Linked DNA regions of Arabidopsis thaliana. The protein of the gene in region 1 purifies or fractionates together with the protein of each later gene. This does not show direct contact. Each region holds a gene or a part of one and is shown on either strand. Other genes may lie near its edges.

Region 1 (7,491 bases):
GTTAGCTAATTAACCTCTGGCTTTAAGCTCGGCAAGTCTCCTGGTTAAATCATCCTCCTCAACTTTCTCTTCAGTCTTGGTAGGAATGGCATGACCAGCAGGCTGAGGTAGTCCAACAGAAACTTCAAGACCGTAATCATCTGCTACTTGCTGCATCAAGCTGTTGACTTCTCCTTCTGGAGTCGACAATGAAGTAGAGCCAGCCATTGCATTATCCATGAACTCAGCTTGGACTTCCATGTTCACAAACTGTTTCTCAAACGAATCCATCGTCTCAGACATCTTCTGTAAGTTGCCTGTTGCAAAGAACAAACCAGAAAATGATAACACGAGTTGCTACAGCACAACGTATAAGAGTATTATAAGCCCTATCTTCTTCTCCCTCTATACTACACTTACCAAAAGGAGAGAAATGCAACAAAAATTCATCACAGATCACAGAACATCCATGACGGTGAGAGAGAGCTATTCTAATATTTCATCAAACCAAACCCTAATGCATGATTCCATATCCTTCAATCAGCAAAAACAACAACAAGGAGCAGAATTTTTCAATCTATACTATAATGCTATGAGCACCAACAAAACCAAATTGATTAGATTGCTGAAAAGTGAGAATGTGAAATACCAGTGGTAAGAGACGATTCGAGGGATTTGACAATGTTGGTCATCGATTTGGTGATGGTAGCCATCTTAGCCTGGGTATCGAGTCGAGCAACAACAGCGTCCAATCGAGAAGAGAGACGAAGGTAGTTCATCTGCTCGCTGCGTTTGCGAATGGCGTTCTCGGCATAGATCCGAGCACCATCCATGTTACCTTTCTCAATGGCTTTCTTTACCTTGAGCTTCTCCGATCTCTCCTCTTTTTCGCACTTCCTAGCTTGCCTCTGCAGAGACTTTGACGTAAATTTCAATTCAAAGATCTGGTTCATCAGCTTATCTGTATTACCCATCTCCTCGATCAGTTAATCGGGATTCGCTTGTTTGATCAATCGGAATCGGAAAAAATTAGGGTTCTTTCGAATTTGGGGAAAGATATCTCAAGCGTGTTTCTTCCGCAGAAAGAGAGGTTTTAACTTTTAAACGAGGAGGCTTCCTAACATTATGTCCTAAATCGAATTGCACTGACTGGTTCTATTATTCGGTTATATCCGGTTTAAGTTTTAATCTTTTAATCCGTCACTGAGTCTGAGTGGTTAGTAGTTATAAAAAAAAAACACTCCTTTGACTTATTCGTTTCAGTTTTGATTATTCACCATCCAAATACATTTGGTATAAACTATAGTAATACTTTTTAAATTCATTTGATTTGTACTGGTTTCAATCGTTTTTCTTTTTTTCTACCGCTTGGGTATTCTCATGAGTTAATTTTGACCCCTGAAAGAAACTTGTAATTTTTCTCAAGTAAGATATGATAATATCAGATTAGAAAAAACAAATGTGCAATGGAATTCTATTTAGGATAATTTGGCAAAAATAATTATTTAGTACTTACTAATGATAATTATACATTTTCCCCCATCACACAACACAACAGTGGAAAGCGCAGCACCTCCACAACTGACCAATGATAGGCGAAAACATATGTCACTGTCCACCGATATGTAGTGGTCAAATAAATAATGTCACCGACTGTAACGCTAAGGATACTTTGGAATCAGGACAAAAACATTATAGTATTAGACATATTAACTTATACGGATTTGTTCCTTCGTTTTGGTCTCGAAGGAAAAAAAAAAGAAAAAAGTTATAATTCCACTTTTGTCCTTTTAGAGAGAGAAAAAGGCCAAGGCGTTTTTCTTCTCTCGTTCCTCCATTTTCTACAGAGAGATATATCAAAAATTCCATTTTCTACAGAGAGAGAGAGAGAGAGAGAGAGAGAGAGAGGGACGAAATATTAATCATCGATCAAGTTGCTTCAATCGCGAAAAAATCCATGAATAAAACTATGGAATGGAATGTGAATCAAAGGATTTGGTTATGGTGATGACGCGATCTTCGATTCGATTCGGTGATTAAAAGATTTGGAAGCTCAGATCTCAAGCTCGGATTTCTAATTTTTGTTGGATTATCTAACCCAAAAGCCAAAAAAAAAAAATGAACGGTGGTGACGATGCCGCTACTAGTGGTCCTCCTCCGTCTTTAGAGTGGAGATTCTCTCAGGTCTTCGGTGAGCGAACCGCCGGAGAAGAAGTTCAGGAAGGTAATTATTGCCTACGTGTGTTATAAATTGTGAGATATATTCGGAGTTTAGCTCTTCTTTTTTCTTTTAGATCCGGAGTGTATTTGAGGACTAAGGGTTTGATTTGTTGTTTGGATCTGATTAGTGAGTTATTCCTCTACTACTTAGTGGGTCATTGATGAATCTCTGTGGCTTTTATTGCACTGTTAGTAGAGTTTCTAAGTTCTATGACAAGTTTGGATTGTTGTGTATTATGTGATATTAGAGCATCTCTATTTAGCTGATTGTTGCGAGGTTGTAACTCTCATTTTTGTACAAGTTTCAGCTGTACTGCTGTAAATTTGAATCATTTGATACGCTGATGATAGTTTTAAGTTGAGATTAAGAGGGTAATCTAGCTTCAAGGTTTTGTCTGTTCAATGCCATAAGCCATGTATACTTTTTTCCACTGGTACAATGGTGTCTCGACTCTGTTTAACAGCAAGAAAGGCATATGAAGCGATGAGGGATTGGGTTGTCGAGGGACAAGTGTGAAGGGTTATCATTGGTCATGCATTTTGGGTTCATGAATTGAATTTGTAATATTGAGTTGGTCTATAGCTGCTCTCTTCTGGCTGATAAGACTTCCCGGAGTATTGATGTAACTAGGTTGCCTTCAGAGGCACTTTCCGTATTAGATAAATTTAATCTGCTCTCATGTTATTGGATGTAATCTTCTTTACCGGTTTACATACTCTATGTTATGGAGAATAATATACTAGCTGCACCTCAAGGTTATTATGTGTTTAGCTCCTACAATTTAGTGGTGACTTCTGATGTAATGATTCTGTTTGCACACATTTCTTCCGCAGTTGACATCATTTCAGCCATCGAATTTGATAAAAGTGGAGACCATCTCGCAACTGGTGACCGTGGGGGCCGAGTAGTTCTTTTTGAAAGGACAGATACTAAAGATGTGAGTTCCTTTTTCTTCTGCAAGATTTGTTTCGAAAAAATGTTATGTGCTGTAACGCACTCTTGCAAAATGTTACTTTCAGCATGGAGGGTCCAGGAAGGATCTTGAGCAGACGGATTACCCAGTTAGGCATCCTGAGTTTCGATATAAAACAGAATTTCAGAGTCATGAACCAGAGGTACATTAAAACTTATCACCAGATTTCACTTACGAGTAATTGTGTTCCTTGAGCTACTCAATAAGCTTGCTTTTCAATCTGTTTCAGTTTGACTATCTCAAGAGTTTGGAGATAGAGGAGAAAATCAACAAAATCAGATGGTGTCAGCCAGCTAATGGTGCATTGTTTCTGCTTTCTACAAACGATAAAACCATCAAATATTGGAAGGTGTGACATCTGGATGGATTTTTATATCACATGTCTGCAAAATATAGGCCACTTATAGCAATTCCTTTCTGTGTAACTCGGTTCCATAATCTTGTTTCATATGCTTTATAGTGTAGAAATATTAGGTGTCACGTGTGAAAACTGTCTAGAAACTGGTTTCTTTTGCTTCCAAGACTCAATTCAAAATAAGAGAAATAGTTTGTTTCTTTACTCTTATAATTTGACTCCTCCTCTTATTTGGAATCAAACAGGTACAAGAGAAGAAGATCAAGAAAATTAGTGAAATGAATATTGATCCGTCAGAAAGTTCAAATATCCCTCCTCAATTAGTTACTAATGGATTACCTGCTGATAAAGGGCATGACTACCTGAGCAAGGACTTTTCTTTCCCGCCAGGAGGCATTCCATCTCTGCGTTTGCCTGTGGTAGTTGTACTCGACGCAACTTTTTTTTACTTTTTGTTTGGGTGTCAAATGAAGTGAGTTTTAATTTCAGGATTCTGAAAAGTAAATGCGTATAGATATTAAGCCTGTTTTTTACTGGAAGTTGTGGATATTTTCTTCATGTTGATGATCCAGCTACTTGAGTTATGAAATGTAGGGAATTTACTATTGGCCTTGTTTCCTTTTGTCGTAACTAAAGCTCAGTACCAAATTAGTCTAATGCACTAGTCAATTTGTGTTCTACTTGAACTTATGGGTGTTTCTGCATATATAGGTTACCAGCCAGGAGACTAACCTTGTGGCTAGATGCCGAAGAGTGTATGCCCATGCTCATGATTACCATATTAATTCAATCTCCAATAGCAGGTAATCGTTTTCCTAAGTTTTCCCTCAGGTTATATGTTTTACTCTTGATATCTCTTTAACACGTTTTTGCTGTCTTTCTCCTTAATTTTTCCATCTCAGGAAACAATGCTAATATCTAAAAAATCCTTAGAATTTTATTTTGCATGTCTTTCCATGTCTGGTCGTGCTATTATTCTCTTTGTCGAAAATCTTGTTGATCCTAAATTTCACAACTTGTATTGCATTGTTTTGTTCCTTGTGGTAATGAATCGTTCCCTTAATTGTTACAGTGACGGAGAAACCTTTATTTCGGCTGATGATCTGCGAGTAAATCTCTGGAATTTGGAAATTAGCAACCAGAGTTTCAATATTGTTGATGTTAAGCCCACAAACATGGAGGACTTAACTGGTATGCTACTTCTCCTATTTTGTTAGATGTTACTTTGTATGGTCTTACCATTGATTCATATGTCAACAACCTCCTTACTTTTATTATCTATTTTTTTCACGTTTACTGCTTGTCGAGCATGCTTCTAAATGCTACATGGTCTGTGCAGAGGTTATTACATCAGCTGAGTTTCATCCTATCCATTGTAATATGCTCGCATATAGTAGTTCAAAAGGCTCCATTCGTTTGATTGATATGCGTCAATCAGCTCTGTGTGATTCTCATACGAAATTGTAAGTTCTGTTCTCATCATCCTTTATCGGAAATGGTAGTTGCATGTTTCAATATATACTTAAGAAGGGGATATGAATACGTGGGTTCATTTCCAATTTTTCTCTTTTCTTGTCAGAAATGACTTGGAAATGAAGATTAATAGGCTAAAGTTTCTGACCACTGACCATTGTTGCTTCATATCACAGATTTGAAGAACCGGAAGCACCTGGTTCAAGATCATTTTTCACAGAGATAATTGCCTCAATTTCAGATATTAAATTCTCAAAGGATGGGAGATACATACTTAGTCGCGATTACATGACGCTCAAGGTTGGAAATCATTCGGTTCCCTTTGTGTATATTTTTCTGATTGTGGGCCAATAGAGGTCTATTCTTTAGTTCTTTCTGATATCTTTTACCCTTTTTGACGTTTCAGCTGTGGGACATAAACATGGATTCTGGTCCGGTCGCATCTTACCAGGTTCATGAACATCTGAGACCCAGGGTGAGAGCTTCTTTCTGTGGCATCTTTTATTTGTTGATTCTGTGTTGAAAGCTAACCACGTTATGTTTTACCCGGTTGCAGCTATGCGATCTATATGAAAATGACTCCATCTTTGATAAATTTGAGTGTTGTCTGAGTGGCGATGGATTGAGGGTAGCAACAGGTTCTTACAGGTTGACTTGCTTGTCTTCTGGTCATTGCTGTACTTTTCTGTCTTGTATAAGGAATAAACTAATGACCAATTTATTATACTTAATCTCCGGTGAACCAGCAATCTATTCCGCGTATTTGGAGCGTCTCAAGGAAGTACTGAAGCTGCGACTTTGGAAGCTAGCAAAAACCCGATGAGGTAAATCAGAAAACAGAGAACATTGATAGTTAACCTTATTAAGTCATTGAAGTTTGTATTGATCAATTGTTGCAAAACTTTCGCATCAATGGTATATATTAGGAGGCAAATCCAGACACCTGCAAGACCATCCAGATCTATAGGCAGTATGACACGCGTGGTTAGACGAGGTTAGTGGTCATAGTACCTGTAAAACTTATTCAAGCTTTTACTACTCTCTTCTGGAGTAAAAAACTTTTGTTTTGGACGCAGGATCAGAGAGTCCCGGAACAGAGGCAAATGGGAACGCCTACGATTTCACAACAAAGTTGCTGCATATGGCTTGGCACCCAACAGAGAACTCAATTGCTTGTGCAGCAGCAAACAGCTTGTACATGTACTATGCATGAGTTGGGAAGAGAGAGAGAAGACATAAACATGGAATCAGCTTGCTCCAATTTAACTTTCCCTTTCTTCTTTTCCCGGGTCTCTCTCTCACTCTCTTTCTCTCTTTCTTTTAACAACCAAAGTCATGATGTAACCAGAAAAGGTGTAGTAGTAACAGAGTAATGCTGTGACCAAGACCAAAGCCTGACCAGTCACCGCGACGAGTCAACGGAAGAAGCAGCAACAGTAATCTTTCAGGAGTTAGTAAGGTAAAAAGTGTTGGGTTGGGAAAGAAAACAAGAAGAGGCCTTTTGTTTACCTGAAGAAGGGTAATGTCTTAAATATCCGAACCACCCCTCCTACTTAGGTTGTCTTTTTTTTGGGTTGCTGCACTAAGGATAAATTTTATTTTATTTTTTTAGTATCGATTCTATTACCTTTTTTTTTTCAATTAAGAAACAAATTATGGTGTGTGGGATTTTTTAGTATGAGACGATTGGGAGGGATGTGCTTCAAAATTTGTTTATTGATTCTTTTGTCATATCTTCTTCTTCTTCTTGAACACCACATCCATTCTGTTTTTTTGCTATTTGTCTATTTTTCAATTGTATTTTCAGACACCTCTTTTGTGTTTTTTACTTTTACCCACAATAAAAAGTAGCTTTCTCCTCCATTCCTCGTAGATTCTATTGTAAGCAAATAAAATTATCTTTGACTACTGATTGTAATACTTTAAAGGATGCGATGAATTGAATATATGTATCCTTACCTCAAGAAGAGTGTCGAGGGCAACATTAATATTACGTAACTTAATTTGATTTCTGCTAAGAAAAATGAAATGTTTGCCAATTGAGGTAGTGGATGCAGTGAAATGTAGTTTTTTCGTGGTGCCACAAGATTTACAACTAGATATAAAATATTATGTTCCTTGTTCTATATCACAATCTAAAGACACGAGGAAGAGAAATAAAAGAAGCTTGTTTTGATGCGTCTCTTCTGATAATGTCTGATAGAAGTATATTATTTTATAGATAGAGGATTACACACACACACACACATTTGTTTTGTTGTCATGCTAAGACTTGTTTGGTTAGAATACTTTTAATTGTTATTGAAGAAATCAAATACAGATGAATATTGAAAGATGTGGCTACCAAATGAAAAGATGATGTGATCCTTAACCCCTAGAATATTCTTTCTGCTTACAATTGTGATTTGTCACTCAATATTCCTTCCAAGTTGCAACCTTATTCCTTCCTAGTGCCTTCTGATGCAATTCCCATATATTTCGATAAATTTC
Region 2 (5,099 bases), on another chromosome or scaffold:
ACACTCACCACGTAAAAGTCAAACGACTAACAAAGAAGTCAGCTTATTTGGTTGATTTTGAGTCCTGCAGACAGTTTTGGTATAAAGTATAAACCAAAGGCCTCGTATCAATTTGAACAAAAGATCTCCACTCCATCCCGAAACAAATACTACCTTGCTTTTTTTTTTCTTTGTACCCTATTAATATTTTTTTGACATTTCTTTTGGTTCAAGTAAAAAAAAGGAGAAATTAGTGTTTTTGGTTGCAAATCTATTTGTAAATTAGATGTCAAGAGAAGTGTTACTTGCCCTAGTGGTTTATCACATATCCGACGTCAACCGGAAATATTAAATTAAAAAGTATGAATAATCTATCTTTGTATATCCGCATTTACATTTTTTTTTGTTTCTGGAAAAGTATCGATCCTGTTATATATACCTAAAGTTTAAAATGCGAAATAAGAAACAAAAAGAGTTTAGTTTATGAAAACATTATCATAATGATACCAAAAAGGCTAAGGAAAAACAAATTACAAAAAGGCTACATCATTTTTTAAAAGAGAGTGTGTGCTTCACATATAAACAAGGAAACGCATATAATAATCATCAAGTAGCTAGATGAAGCTAAAGAAGTAGTTAAGTGTGAATGCTTGGCAATTAAGATTGTGTTGGTTCATTTATTAACAATCTTTGACCACTCACTAATTTATTTTTGGCTCTCTCTTCTATATCATCACCGTTTTATCTTTATAAACCATCCCTCAAGACTCTCCCAATATTACATGATGTGTTTAATCCTCACGAATTCGCATGAATCAAAACCGGCTGAAAAACAGATGTAACATTTAAGTTAACATACTCACACCAATCTAAATTATTAGACTTTCATTCACTTTAACACATTTGTCCATACCATGATGATCATAACAATCAGTAGCTAAATCAATGTGAGTGTGGCTTAGATATTTGATCTGAATGATTCATGAGAAACATGGATACTTAATGTTCATGTGCATGTGCATATAATAGTATATTAATCTCACCAGTAGGATGCTTAGTATAGCAATAAAGAGAAGGTGGTGAAATTGATGAGCATCGGCCATTAAATTAAGCACTGACCCATTAATTGCGCACTTACCCATAAACACCATTCACTCCTTTTCATTAACTTAAGAGTAAAATTATACATACACCTCGCTATCTCTAACACTAGTCACACTAGTGTACCTTCCTCGGTACTCTTATCAATGTCTCGTGTCGCAATAAATCCATATAAAGATTTCTAACTAGGTCAATCCAACATCCAATTTAATACAACAGTCCTTAGTAGATTCTAATTTAAGTGTGTCTCTATATATATATGGACCGACAAAATCAATGACCTAAGATTTGACTATATATTTCATGCAAATATGATAAAATGCTATTCATCCAATTAATCATCAATATTGTAATTGGGCTGGCCTTTTGCTTATATCTTTAGGCATTTTCTTTAACAAAATTAGAGCCAGGCCCATCAATTAAATTGAAAAATGCTTAGAAGTTGTCACGTCACTGTCCATGTCATCCATGGTGGGATTGGGCTGGCCTAAAGGACTTTTCTATGTAAAAATTAGAGGCAGGCCCATCAACTAAATTAAAAAATGCTTAGAAGTTGCCACGTCAGTGTCAATGTCATCAGTGTCTATTTCTAACGCCGTCAAGTAACGGAATAACGCAACCGAATATTCTTTCATCACATGGCCGCTTCTGCAGCACGTGACTTTCAAGCTTCTGTTTTCCTTATGAACTAAGTTTTTCTGTTTCCTCCAAACTATTTTTTTTAATTAGAATATCTTGTTATTTATAACGAATATATCTTCTTCTTTTACTTATTTTTAACACAAATATTTATTTGTTTGATACGAATTCTCAAAATGAGAAAAACGAAGAAAAATAGAAAAAAATCGAAACGGATAAATACAGAGAATTTAGAGAAAAAAGGTTTGTATTTTAGGAGACAAGGACGAGTGAAGTCGTGCTTTTTCTTTTTTTATTTCATGTTAATTTTAATATTTTTGGGTTATAGTTTCTTAGGAAGCAACATCAATCATCAAAACGCGGCGGCTCTTGTCGTATCAAAGCAACTGAACGTTGTCGTTTTGGGACAATCCTTATCTCTTGGGGCAACCAATTATTGCCTTTTTTCTTCCTCTCTTTCCTTATTCGTTCTCTTCTTGAAGATATTTTTCCATTTATTTTCTCGAATCTTCTTCTTCTTCCTAGATTCCAGCGACTTAACAACAACAACAACAACATATTCTCTGCTGGGTATTAGATTCGAATTTCTCTTTTTGTGATCAGAAATGGATCGAGCTCCGGTGACCACAGGACCGTTGGATATGCCGATTATGCACGACAGTGATCGATATGACTTCGTTAAGGATATTGGTTCTGGTAATTTCGGTGTTGCTCGTCTTATGAGAGATAAACTCACTAAAGAGCTTGTTGCTGTCAAGTACATCGAGAGAGGAGACAAGGTTTCATTTTTAAAAATCTCATCTTTTTCTATTTTTGGAAGTTGATGATATTTATTTAGTCCAGTGATCGTTCATTTTTAGTGTTTGGTTTAGCTTTCACTTTCCAGATTTATTGGTTTCGTACTTAAAGTTAGCGTTTTTAGATTTTGATGATTATGCTTTTGAGTGCTTTTAATGTGATTTTAAAGATGTGAGCTTCCTAACACTTGAATGATGATTTTAATTTGTGATTTATGTGAAATTTTGGATATTGAAATGATTTTTTTAGTTGGTTTTGAGTGTTCTGCTTTTGTAGATTAGGACAGTTGTGAATGACTTGTAACTATGGGAGTTGCAGATTGATGAAAATGTTCAAAGGGAGATCATTAACCACAGGTCACTAAGGCATCCTAATATTGTCAGATTTAAAGAGGTAAAATTTATACACTTTTCTTCAGTACTTGTCTTTTTGGAATTTGTTAAGCCAGTGACTCTTTTAAACTCTGTTTCTTGTACTTGAGGATAGGTCATTTTGACGCCGACTCATCTGGCTATCATAATGGAATATGCTTCTGGCGGTGAACTTTACGAGCGGATTTGCAATGCAGGACGGTTTAGTGAAGATGAGGTTTGTATTTGGTTCTCTTATCGGGTTTACAGGTCTCCGGTTTCCTTATGGTTTGATCTCTTCTTGTAAACAGGCTCGGTTCTTCTTTCAGCAGCTTCTATCTGGAGTCAGTTATTGTCATTCGATGGTATGTAGAGAATCTGTTTCATGGAGCCTATGGACTGGTTGTATTCTTGTTTTTTTCTAACTTGTTGTTAATACTCTACTTTTTTTCATGTGCTGTGAAGCAAATTTGCCATCGTGACCTGAAGCTAGAGAATACATTGTTGGATGGAAGTCCTGCTCCTCGATTAAAAATTTGTGATTTTGGATATTCAAAGGTATCACAAATGATTTTGTTCTTTTGGTATCAGAAACTATACACTTGTGGTTCCTCCATTGTCATGTTCAAATGTGTTTTTAAAGTGTTTGCTTATGCATTTCTTTTTGACAGTCTTCTGTTCTTCATTCACAACCAAAGTCAACTGTTGGTACTCCTGCATACATCGCTCCAGAGGTACTGCTTCGTCAGGAATATGATGGCAAGGTAAAGGCTTTTAGAGAATTCCTCTGTAATCTCTGTATTTCTAAGGATGAATAGCCAATCATTGAGTGTTACGGTTACCAGATTGCAGATGTATGGTCATGTGGTGTGACCTTATACGTCATGTTGGTTGGAGCGTATCCGTTCGAAGATCCAGAAGAGCCAAGAGACTATCGGAAAACAATACAGGTAACCGCTTAAAACGTTGTTCCTTTTGTTCATCTCTTGATGTTCCTCTTATTCTCTTAATGATTCTGAAACACAGAGAATCCTTAGCGTTAAATACTCAATCCCTGATGACATACGGATATCACCTGAATGCTGTCATCTTATTTCAAGAATCTTCGTGGCTGATCCCGCTACCGTAAGTCATTCCCTTTCCTCATCTCTAATCTTTAAACCATCGGCGAGATGACTGATGTTTGATGTTGTTTGTTACAGAGAATAAGCATACCAGAGATCAAAACCCATAGTTGGTTCTTGAAGAATCTCCCTGCTGATCTAATGAACGAGAGCAACACAGGAAGCCAGTTCCAGGAGCCTGAACAACCAATGCAAAGCCTTGACACAATCATGCAAATCATCTCTGAAGCCACAATTCCCGCTGTTCGAAACCGTTGCCTAGACGATTTCATGACTGACAATCTTGATCTTGACGATGACATGGATGACTTTGACTCTGAATCTGAAATCGACATTGACAGTAGCGGAGAGATAGTTTACGCTCTCTAATAAAAAGCCTTTTTTAACAACCAAAACACTTCTCTATCTGTTCTAAGACCAGTAGTGTTCTGATCCTCTGGTTTCAAATTCTACCAATTTTTGTATTGTCTCTGTTTGTTTCTTGTTTTCTTCATGCACACATATATCATATATGTAATGTAAAATATCATCTGTGTATATTATATATATATTCCAATGTCACACAAAAGCAAATTAACAGTTAAAACAGTTGAAGCAAGTTGAGGTTATGTTCTGTTTTTTCCTCTGTGATCGTCAGATTCTTCATTTCTGGTTTCAATATTTTCCACAAGAACGCAGTATCTTCGTCGCATTTCACTTCCAGATTCTCTAGATTCTTCACAGAATCCGGTAACTCGCATCGATAACAATCTTTCATCGAAATCTTCTCAAGCTTCTTGAGCTTTCCAATTTCTAGAGGCAGGTTTTTCAGTTGGAAGCCACCAGAAACATCAAGAAACCGCAAATTGTCGAGTCTGTCAATCGTTTCAGGTAGCTCTAAGAGACTAGCACAAGAACTCAGTCTCAGCGTTTCAAGGTCCCTTAAGTCACCTATAGCTTCTATGACTCTGCAAAGCTTGTTACAATTTGTGACACTAAGCTTCTTCAATGAAACAACTTGAGAGATCCAATATGGTAATTCATCAAGATTGTAGCAATAGTCAATCTCGATTTCCTGTAGACTTTGTAAAGTTTCAGAAACATCTTCTAATTCGTTGAGAGCATCAAC

What was found.
Region 2: the proteins of ATB BETA (region 1) and SNRK2.3 purify together in Arabidopsis thaliana (affinity purification with western blotting, with the first as the bait; one study listed by BioGRID). This does not show direct contact.

Annotation. Positions count from the first base shown.
Region 1 is NC_003070.9:6,092,672-6,100,162, reverse strand, and holds ATB BETA (Protein phosphatase 2A, regulatory subunit PR55), read left to right. Parts: upstream 1-1,723; 5' UTR 1,724-2,097; coding exon 2,098-2,203; intron 2,204-3,033; coding exon 3,034-3,137; intron 3,138-3,219; coding exon 3,220-3,315; intron 3,316-3,402; coding exon 3,403-3,522; intron 3,523-3,773; coding exon 3,774-3,950; intron 3,951-4,239; coding exon 4,240-4,331; intron 4,332-4,600; coding exon 4,601-4,719; intron 4,720-4,867; coding exon 4,868-4,991; intron 4,992-5,177; coding exon 5,178-5,301; intron 5,302-5,407; coding exon 5,408-5,476; intron 5,477-5,557; coding exon 5,558-5,649; intron 5,650-5,747; coding exon 5,748-5,825; intron 5,826-5,927; coding exon 5,928-5,995; intron 5,996-6,077; coding exon 6,078-6,214; 3' UTR 6,215-6,955; downstream 6,956-7,491. Other genes in the region: VPS46.1 (vacuolar protein sorting 46.1), read right to left, coding at 10-296, 629-953. UniProt on the Arabidopsis thaliana protein: The B regulatory subunit may modulate substrate selectivity and catalytic activity, and may also direct the localization of the catalytic enzyme to a particular subcellular compartment.
Region 2 is NC_003076.8:26,708,373-26,713,471, forward strand, and holds SNRK2.3 (sucrose nonfermenting 1(SNF1)-related protein kinase 2.3), read left to right. Parts: upstream 1-1,929; 5' UTR 1,930-1,962; intron 1,963-2,047; 5' UTR 2,048-2,324; coding exon 2,325-2,498; exon of another isoform or gene 2,499-2,835; coding exon 2,836-2,910; intron 2,911-3,003; coding exon 3,004-3,105; intron 3,106-3,178; coding exon 3,179-3,232; intron 3,233-3,332; coding exon 3,333-3,425; intron 3,426-3,538; coding exon 3,539-3,631; intron 3,632-3,712; coding exon 3,713-3,817; intron 3,818-3,893; coding exon 3,894-3,992; intron 3,993-4,069; coding exon 4,070-4,360; 3' UTR 4,361-4,571; downstream 4,572-5,099. Other genes in the region: AT5G66890 (Leucine-rich repeat (LRR) family protein), read right to left, coding at 4,572-5,099. UniProt on the Arabidopsis thaliana protein: Together with SRK2D, key component and activator of the abscisic acid (ABA) signaling pathway that regulates numerous ABA responses, such as seed germination, Pro accumulation, root growth inhibition, dormancy and seedling growth, and, to a lesser extent, stomatal closure.